Saccharomyces cerevisiae S288C: one gene and its partner. The protein of the gene in region 2 binds, or shares a complex with, the protein of the main gene of each other region. Each region holds a gene or a part of one and is shown on either strand. Other genes may lie near its edges. A codon is read from its position in the direction of its gene.

Evidence for each region.
Region 1: the proteins of STE12 (region 2) and PSE1 are in contact, whole or in part, in a crystal structure (PDB 3W3W), measured with the Saccharomyces cerevisiae proteins. Residues at the interface, in NP_011952.1 of Saccharomyces cerevisiae: Ala607 (codon at 749), Lys608 (codon at 746), Ile609 (codon at 743), Ser610 (codon at 740), Lys611 (codon at 737), Pro612 (codon at 734), Leu613 (codon at 731), His614 (codon at 728), Ile615 (codon at 725), Lys616 (codon at 722); in NP_014039.1 of Saccharomyces cerevisiae: Glu287 (codon at 2,912), Asp346 (codon at 2,735), His347 (codon at 2,732), Arg349 (codon at 2,726), Gln350 (codon at 2,723), Asp353 (codon at 2,714), Arg354 (codon at 2,711), Leu357 (codon at 2,702), Ser392 (codon at 2,597), Ser393 (codon at 2,594), Glu396 (codon at 2,585), Cys429 (codon at 2,486), Asn430 (codon at 2,483), Gly433 (codon at 2,474), Gln434 (codon at 2,471), Asp438 (codon at 2,459), His470 (codon at 2,363), Ala473 (codon at 2,354), Ala474 (codon at 2,351), Val476 (codon at 2,345), Asn477 (codon at 2,342), Glu480 (codon at 2,333), Gln512 (codon at 2,237), Thr515 (codon at 2,228), Lys556 (codon at 2,105).

What each region holds. Positions count from the first base shown.
Region 1 is NC_001145.3:888,452-894,155, forward strand, and holds PSE1 (importin PSE1), read right to left. Parts: upstream 3,771-5,704; coding exon 501-3,770; downstream 1-500. Other genes in the region: 1,3-beta-glucanosyltransferase GAS1, read left to right, coding at 1-231; NIP1 (translation initiation factor eIF3 core subunit c), read right to left, coding at 4,537-5,704. UniProt on the Saccharomyces cerevisiae protein: Functions in nuclear protein import as nuclear transport receptor. Serves as receptor for classical and arginine/glycine-rich nuclear localization signals (cNLS and rg-NLS) in cargo substrates.
Region 2 is NC_001140.6:272,650-276,740, reverse strand, and holds STE12 (homeodomain family transcription factor STE12), read right to left. Parts: upstream 2,568-4,091; coding exon 501-2,567; downstream 1-500. Other genes in the region: SAM complex subunit SAM35, read right to left, coding at 3,125-4,091. UniProt on the Saccharomyces cerevisiae protein: Binds to the DNA sequence mediating pheromone induction (called the pheromone response element = PRE) which is found in the upstream control region of several a-, alpha- and haploid-specific genes.

The DNA of each region.
Region 1 (5,704 bases), on a different chromosome or scaffold from region 2:
GGTTCCGGAACTGAATCCAGTACTGCCTCTTCTAACGCTTCGGGGTCTTCTTCCAAGTCTAACTCCGGCTCTTCTGGTTCTTCCAGTTCTTCTTCTTCTTCTTCAGCTTCATCTTCATCTTCTAGCAAGAAGAATGCTGCCACCAACGTTAAAGCTAACTTAGCACAAGTGGTCTTTACCTCCATCATTTCCTTATCCATTGCCGCTGGTGTCGGTTTTGCTTTGGTTTAAAAAGCTTCGACACATACATAATAACTCGATAAGGTATGGTATCTTATTTCATTGTGGGGTAGTTTTTACGAAAAAAATGAAAAGTTGTAAGTATAGTATATATTTTTTTTCTATGTAAGTTTTATAAGATTCTATTCGCTATTACCACCGGTAAATTAAAAAGAACACTATTGTTACATTATATGTTTTTAAATCATCAAAAAAGACAATATTCATTTAATATTCCTTATAGAACTACTTAACATTGTTCTTCTTTCTATTAAACGTCTTTATGCAAACCATTTATGTACTTTCTCCATAATATCAGCTGGATATCTATTGAAAATTGCCATAGCATCACTAGAAGGCAAAAATCCCAACAACTTTTTAACTGAACTTATCACCGTTTGGCCTTCCCTTTCGGTCAAACTTCTCTCATTCAAGGCTTGTATGACTGAATCAACTACAGCGGAGATATTAGATTGAGCACACACAATTGGCGAATTATTTTCAATCAATTGACTCAAAAATTGATAGTTGAATGAGGCAGCTTCTTTGTCAGTTATTGTTGGTAACGTTTTGAACCAATTAGCCGTGTACGTGTCTACGTTAGGAATGTTGGAATTGTATGCATAAAGAATTTTGGCGATGGCTGCACTGGCATTCTCTGTTGAAGAACGATTTTCTTCCAGTTTGGAGCCTGGAAAATCGACAATCTGAACAAGTGTATCTAAAGTCGGTATGCAAACGTCAGCATATGTAGATGGAGCGTATTGGGCACAAACACCGATTATATAAGAAGCAGCTTGGCGAATACGAGCGTCAGGAGAAATCAAGCACTCGGTAACCTTTGGAATAAATGCGTTCTTCATGCTAGCAGTTTGTTCGCCACCATATTGAATCAAGTCACCAATCACTACTAATGCAAAAATGACTAAAATTGGTTCATTATCTAAAAGGAATGTGTTTATCATAGGCCATATATTCTCCAAATTCTTTAGATAATGACCATTTGTGGTTTTCAAAACGGCCGCGATAGACTTGTTGATTTCATCGAGAAGATCTTCGTCAGTAAAGTCTTCCTCTTCATCAATATTTTCATTATATTCATCACCATCACCATGGCGATCCTGCATCCTTTCGTAAGTGTCAGTTAAGTTGGCGGAGACACCCTTAGTAAATGCCGCTAATTGGTCTTCGCTTAAGCAATTGTCACCCATGACTTTAATACCATTCACTAACGAGTTGTGATAAACTTGCGTGATTTCTGGCATTGGTTCTGACATTAAGCCTCCGATTAGTTTAGACGAAGCTTTATGCCACAACAATACCAATTCCTCGTTTTGAGTACCGGTGGCTGCAAGTAAACAAGATAATAGAATAGGAATTAAAGTTGCTCCTGCAGCACGAACACCGTCATGTAGGTAAAAGTCAAGCGATGGTAGAGCTATTTCTTCCATTACTTCTTTAACATATACAGCAAATTGGCCTCTTAAAAGTGTCGCATAGCTTTGTAATAGCTCCATTGCTGATACTTTATCGTCAAGGACGGATGTGTGAATAGCAATGTGTTTTCCCTGAACTTGAACAACATCCCAATCTGGATATTGTTGGAAATTTGCTGCTTCTTCTTCTTCAATTAAACCGACGTCTTGCGTTGCTTTGGCAGTAATTAGCAGGGGTGGTATAACAATCGGTAACAACGGAACAAAATCATCACCCAGAATTCGGCAAATCCTGCTCCAACTTTGTTCTAAGTATGATCTGAGCGCATCATCTTCATCGATATCTGAGTTTTGTAAAGCGACCAATATAGAAATCAGCTCTTGAGAGTGCTCATGAAATTTTTCCTTACCAACGGCAAAACCAATCAGAGTTGCACATTCCATACATTTACCTTTCAAAACACTATTATCTTTATTGTTAACCTTCAAAACATTTAATAATAATGGCATTAGAGTATCGTAATACTTGATAAATTTATTCTTTGCAGCTTCAGCAATAAATGCAATGGTTGTTAGGGCCTGTTCCTGTACGTAAAGTTTGTTGCTTTGTAATAAAACTAATAAATTTGTCAATAGACTATCCAAGTAAGGCTCAAGAATATCCTTCGAAGCGAATTCAGAAAAGTTAACCAGAGCCGCTGCGGCGTGCGTTTGAACTCTTGAGGTGCATTCTGACGTTAGTTTAGATATTAAAGCCGGCAAAATTCTATCGTGTGCAGTTCTTTGAATGAATGGTGAAAAATCAGTAGATATTTGACCCAAAACATTACAACATCCATACTGTACTCTTGGATGAGGATCGTTGATGAGGGGAATTACCATATCCAGGATTTTTGGGATCTCGCCGATCAGAACATCAGCACAACCCTCAGCTGCAGAGGAAAGTGCCATCATGGCCGCGAATCTTTCTCTCCATTCGGTTGATGTGATCATTTGCTGTAAATATTGGAACAATGGTGCAGCCAAATATTCACCACCCAGCTTTAAAGCAACACGATCAAGAGCTTGACGAGCGTGGTCATATGTAACTTCCTCTTCATCATCGGTATCGTCAGATTCTATCCATTCTGCTGCATCATCATCATCTATGGATACCTCCGTCATCATGATTAAAGTAACCATCACTAAAGTTTGCCCGTAATTCTGGTTCGATTTACACATTTGGGGAGCGTTCTCGCTGAAAACGGTTAGCAGTTCGAGTGCTGTGGTTCTTGCTGGAGGTTCTAAATCCTTATTTTTTATAACCATATCAGTGAATTGTATTATTTGGTCAAACATATCCTTGAATAGTTTTGGTGCCAATTCCACCAACTCAATTAACGATTCAAAAACTGATGCAAGGGCATCGTCCTTACCATCATCTAAAAATCTTGGTAAACTATTCAAAAGACTTGGTAATAAAATACCTAACTTGGACCACTCAGATTTTGGTAGTTGCTTAAAATAACCCACGAAAGCCGTAACTGCAGCAATTTTGACATTATCACTTGCATCAGTAAAGCCTGATTGAAAAATTGGTAAGATACTGTTGATGTCAACAGCGGTAATTAAATAAGGTACAGTCGTCAAAATTCTAAAACTGGATTCTCTAAAATTTGGGTTACCGCTTTTTAAAGACTCTATTAAAGCTTGTAGTAATTCTGGCCATGCTGGTAAGTCGTCTTGAACACACTCAGCAATAGCATCAGATAGTTTGTGCCTAATTGAATCAGCTCTTTCCGACAAAAACCCTTTTAACAATGAAGAACGAATTTGTGCAAGAACTTCTTTCCTAATATGTGTGATATTTTTGGACATAATCATAAGCTTCGAAGAAGGGGGAGCTTTTAATGCTAATTTTCTAAACAGAACAGCAGATAATGCTGCAACTGTTGTATCTTGGGAGAAAGCGGCTTGTTCAGCCAAAAAAGTTAAAAGATACTCAATATTGTTTTCGGTAATCCATTCTTCACTAAGAGCCTTCTCAGCTACAGAACGTATTTGATTGTCAGGGGAAGCAAACGCCTGGACAATCTGAAGTAATGTTCTATTAACTTCTTCCGGTAAAGCAGACATAGCGATGGCTCTAGTTACGGTTGAAATCACGTGTCGTTAGGATAAAGTGGCTTGCAAGCTAATTACTTTTGTTTGGGCTATCTGCCACTTTGATCTACTCAGTCTATTAGCCACTCGGTATCTGAAGAGCGCCGAACTTCGATCACTGTTATAGCTGTCTATAATACTATAGTGATTATTGGACCGTCTGGTATTAGTATTCCCATTTTTTTAGTGAATTTCATTTTTCTTTTTTTCCTGGGTAGAAAATGAAAAATTTTTCAGTTTCTGCAAAGAATTGATATCGTGCGTCATGATGATAATACCGATTTACTGCAGTTCGTACAATTTATTTTTTTTTTTAGAATGTCAAACAGATAGTCCATGATAGGCTATTGGATTATTTATCAACACTCATGATCCATATATTTTGAGATTATATTTGATGAAGAAATAAAGCGGCATATCATACTTTTCTTAAAGTTTAATAGTTTGTATTATATTATAAAGAGTGTTTACGTAACAAAAAAAACTATATATATATTTGCTTATGTGTAATGTACAGTGAAGACGATTAGATTCAAACCCTAAAACTAAAAATAAAGAGATCGCTAAAAGAATCGAAAAAAAAAAAGATGAGCAATATCAAGAATAAAAAGCAAAAGTGAATATGGTTTATACTCTCCTGCTTAGTTTCCTTCTATATTTTTTGGTTGCTGATGTTATTCTTCTATCTACAATGATTTTTTGTTAAGAATGCTTTCGAAGTAGTTTTTGATTTTATTGATCAACGACGATTTGATGGTGGGTTAAGACGTTCTTTAGCGATTTTATATTCTTTGTTCAATTTTACCATTGCTTCTTCCAATTTAGTAATTTCATCACCCTTTTCGACAACAAAGATGGTCTTCTCGTCGTTTAATTTGGCTGGGATTTCCAATTCTGCGATAACAGATTGCAAAACTTCAACCACCTTATTTTCTGGAAGATCAAATAATTCGGCTAGTTTAGCAACAGAAAAACTTGAATAGAACCTCTTGAAAGAAAAGAAATAAGTCTTCAAAGATTCAACTTGTACTCTTTCCGTTAAACTATTCAACACCGTTTCCATGTTTGGTAATAAAGCCCAAGATTTTATTTCTCTTAAGTATTTAACAGAGTCTCTCCAGTTACCTTTTTGCATTGATTTGGCAGCAAACAAGACATAATCTCTTAAAGTTTCTGGTGGACCTTGGAAACTTAACTTGTCGTAATGTTCTAAGGAACGACGAATGGATTTTGGAGAGTAAGGAATTCTCTTGACCTTAATACCGGAATAGAAGGCAGTCATTCTTGGAATTTCGATCAATAAGGAACATGTTAAGAAGACGACATCGATTAAATCGAGATTGATGTGTTGGTGATATGGCAAACATTGTCTAGCACGCTCATCAGCTGAAGCATTGTTACTAGAATTGAGAGATATTCTGTGTAGGGATTGTTGGCCCAAAATTTCTCTTAAGTGAGAACTTGACAGAAGATCATTCAAAATTTGATGACATTCTTCAATCAAACATAATTTAAAGGCGGATAGACCCAATTGAACAACAACCCTGTTGAATAAAATTTGTAGGGATGAATCGAATTGGTTGATATTTGTTTGAACTTGGGAAGTTAGTAACATATCTTTAGCAGTTTGGAAATCTTTGTTTAATGCAGTGTAGTAAATGTTGTATAAAATAGCACGTTTTTGAACAGCAATGTTGTTTTGCTTGGATAAGATTGTCGATAATCCGTCTATTAAATTGTCGACATAATCAGCAGAATCGAGCTGGTCTTTTGAAGTAAATTTAGATTTGAATTGAGCAGGTATGATATTCCAAGCAGCAGTTTCCATAATTTTTATCAAATTTTCGGATTTATAGTAGATATGATCCAATCTCTTGACGAATGGACGTGTCAATGCTCTTTCTAGG
Region 2 (4,091 bases):
ACCTTTTTCTTTTTTGATTACAACTTTTAACTATTATGAACATCGATGCCTTCACCTTATAATTAGGAATCTCGCTTTTTCTGGTGGAAAAATTTTCCGATGGCCTTTGCCATTCTGAAAAATAAAAGGCAATACTACGTTGGTATCAAAATAGTGGATAAACACATATTGTAATACTAAGCGATCATGTAGTTTTGGAGGTCATGTTAAGAAACTCATTGATATTTATATTACATACTGTGACGCTAGATAAATCACATATATAAAGGTATTATATTATATTATCTTTTTCTTTTTTTTTTTTTGTTATTTTCTAACGTTAATAGATTTGTTACATTTATTACCTTTTTTTCTTGCTTTTTGTTTGCTCTAGTCTTGTATAAGATTGTTTTATTTATAAAAACAGATTGTCCTTGTTGTTTTCTTCTGAGTATTGTTTAATATTAAATTCTGGCCCGCATTTTTAATTCTTGTATCATAAATTCAAAAATTATATTATATCAGGTTGCATCTGGAAGGTTTTTATCGGACCTTCGATTGGTATCTACCTCAAGTGAATGAGCTCCACCTTCTTCTGACTGGACCACCAAAGTATTGGAATCCGGAGTAGGCATCGAAATTTCTTTGTTCTTATCAGGATGAGCAGAATCTTCGTCACCAGCACTTGGCCTGGCTTTCGTTTCCAAGTTGATTTTGTATTGCTTCTGATAAGCACTTGTCTTAATATGTAGAGGCTTTGAAATTTTTGCAGACTTGCCCACAGATTGTTTATTACCTGTTGGAACATTTCCTTGTGAAGACTTCATTCCCACAGTTCTTCGCCGTGGGTATTGATTTATATTTTGAGAATAAAATGTGCTAGGAGGATAGTTTTTAGCAGTTGTAGATGGTGCTCTCGAACTATAAGGTGAAACAGCAGTGTTCCACTGCATGGAATTTGAACTTTGCATGTATGGGAACATCGCGGAACCTGGTGTCGATCTATAATTCGGTGTGTATGGTCTCCCAACATAGGTTGGAGCTGGTTGCATAGCTTGAGGGGGCAAAACATTCCATGAAGTTGCAGTTTGTGGATACAGCATATTGTTATCACATCCTTCTGGTGGAAAGAAAAAATCGTCCGCGCCATAAAAGGCTTGATCGAGTAGAGGATCCCCCCCCATGGGATTATACGGCATTTTTGGGTAGTATCCTGGAACCATTCCGTTTGGGTAAGATTGCTGGAAGTTGTTAGAATATAATTGGTGTTGTTTAGTTTGCTGGCCAGAGTTGTGAGATTTTGCATTTGTACAGTTTTCATTTGGCCGAGATTCATCAAAATCCATAACTGGTTCGTCATACTTCATGTAGCTGGTAGGGTCGCTAGGAGATACCAATTTTTCCTTGTTATTGTTAGATGAATAAAAATCCCGATTTGTCATAAAATGTTGCCTCGATGATGATGGTGGCACTGGGAAAGTGGGTGCCACTGATAACTGATAGGGGTATCTATTAAGAAGAGAATTAACGGGCATAGAATCCCTTTCATTCACGTTATCATAGGAAATAGGCATGGAAGGGGCAGCTGGCGTAAAAGCCTGTGGAGGGAACGGATCAAACGCATTTTCCTCCGTAGGGTATTCAACAGATACAGGAAAATAGTCGAGAGGAAAATCTTCTTCGTCTCTGCCCTTAGCGGTATTCTTGGGTAAGTCATGAGGCGTTTCTTCTGTGAGACCATTCAATTCGAGAGTATTGGGTTCTATAATCAATTTCTGAGGAATAAAATCATTAATTTGAGAGGGGGATTCTGGCGCATCGTCATCCATGAGGCCAACGCCTAAAAGCGGCTGATTAGTTACTGTTACCAACTCATTATCCTTAAAATTCTCGCTTTCTAATTTTGGAGGCGAATTATCTGATTTTGTTGTACTAGATGGTCTTCTAGAATCTAAATGTTGAAGTAACTGATCGTAGAGAGGCTTATCAGATGAGGAATCATATGAAAAAGATAAGGCGGGCTCATTAACGGGCTTAGTCGTTGAAGGCTGATTCAAACTTTCTCTTTTTAAATCTCTTTCCAACGCATCCGCAAACAACTTATCATGTGCTACACTGAACCAAAAAAATACTTTCTGCTTTTTTTGGGTTTTCAGACACATATTTCTGAATAGAAACGACAAAAATTCGGACTTTGGTTGTTCTAAAGTTGCATCTATACCACATTTGAGATTTCTTAAATCTGAAAAAATACCCTCTTCAAATTTTTTCTTTTGAACTACTTCTCTCCCAAACTTTTGCATTCTGTAAAGACAACATTTGACAATATCAGTACCTGTAATATAGTATAGATTGTTCCAAAATACACAAGAGACAAAGCCTTGTCCACTATTCAGATAGTATCGCCTTATAATTTGGTTTTCTTGCCAATTTACCGGCGCTGTGGCTAAAAAGAATTTTAGATCGCCGATTAACCTTAGCGATTCTTCAACTTCGCCCGGAGTAGCTTTACTGACTTCATCGTTTTCATTATTAGCTTGAACTTTTAAGATTTCCTCTGTTCTACTATTGGTTATTTGGACTTTCATCCTTGGTGAACAAGACAATTCAAATAAAGAAAGCGGTTCCGCTATAAAAGTGTGTTTTCTTCGACGAGTCTTGTTTGAGAAATATCAATATCCACTCTAGGTCTCGCTTGGGACACTTATAAAACAAGTCTTCAGTGCTTACCTGTTATCTTTTCCTATTTTATGAATGGCACGAACGTCTCAAAAAAGTCAACTAAAAAGAAGTAATCTAATTGTAAAAGGAACGTAGTGGTACTATGTGCGAGAAAACTAGCGTACGAGTACTTCGATTTATGGTGTCGAGACCTGACCGCGAAGAGTTGTTCAATCTTTTTTAGGCTGTTTTGTATTAGTTTTGATATATCTTAAGATGTTGCAAATTCGTTTCTTTTAAAACAATTTTTATCTGTTTCACTTTTTCTATTGAGACGAAAACGGACAACGGCGTTTGTTTCATTTTGAAACGAGCTCTCCGAAAAGAAATGCTGTGTTTCAAATTATGCAACACTCTAGAGTTCATATATTTATACACACGAAAACTTCATCTATATCGTTTACATACTACAGCTTGAAAGTGATTACTGAACGAAGTTCTTCAGGGTGTCTTGTGCAAACTGGACCAATTCTTTACATTCGTTTTCAACAAATGTCTTTAGCTTTATGGGTTCCTTAACGTTCGTTATACAAAGAATGTAACTTGCAATTTTCAGATGTAAGTAAGTGGGTTGCCCGTCGCTTTTCAACATATCTTTTAAACCTAAAAGAACTTGCTTGCTATTCTCGAACAAAACGTTCAAGACCTGCTCTTGATTAACGGAGTTGTGATGGTTGTGATAAACTCCTTGCATACTCTTGACGATTTCTCGATGGCGGAACTGGAACTTGTTCCGCTTTGTTAGGGATATCTTCAAACTCTTTGCGGACAACTTCTGTAATAAAGAGTTTTCTACGTCCAATGGAGTGACTATCGAACCACTTAACTTCTGGCAAGAGTACAATTCCATGAATTGCGCATCTGAGGCACAGAAAATTATTTGCGTGATCCAACAATCGTACAGCACGGTATCCAGCAACGTATAGTACATCAACTGCTCAGCATCATCAAGTATCCGAGACCTCATAATTTCGCTGATTGCCACGGTGGATCTTATAATTCTCTTCTTGTAACCCTCAACTAGAATAGGTAGGGCCTCATCGGGGTTAGAAAGACGGGACAGAACGAGCATTTCATGGTTACAGGTATGCGATGGGGTTTGTTCCTGCGAGTGCGTGGGTAAGACTAGACCATTCTTTTGACACAGCGCAAGCTGAACAAACAGACACCATGGATCTGTGGCCAATGCCGCCCCTGTATTTGCCTCCAAAAAAACGTTGTAAACACCTAGCTTGTACGTCCCCTCCACAGTCAACTCAGAGCTTCCACCACCGCGTTCTGTGAATGTGTAGGACCTCCGCTGTATTTCTAATGCAACGGCCTCGTCCTTGTCAGTCTGCGCAGCATATGTTTGTAACGGAAATGTGTCAAATATCCGTTTTACTGGCATG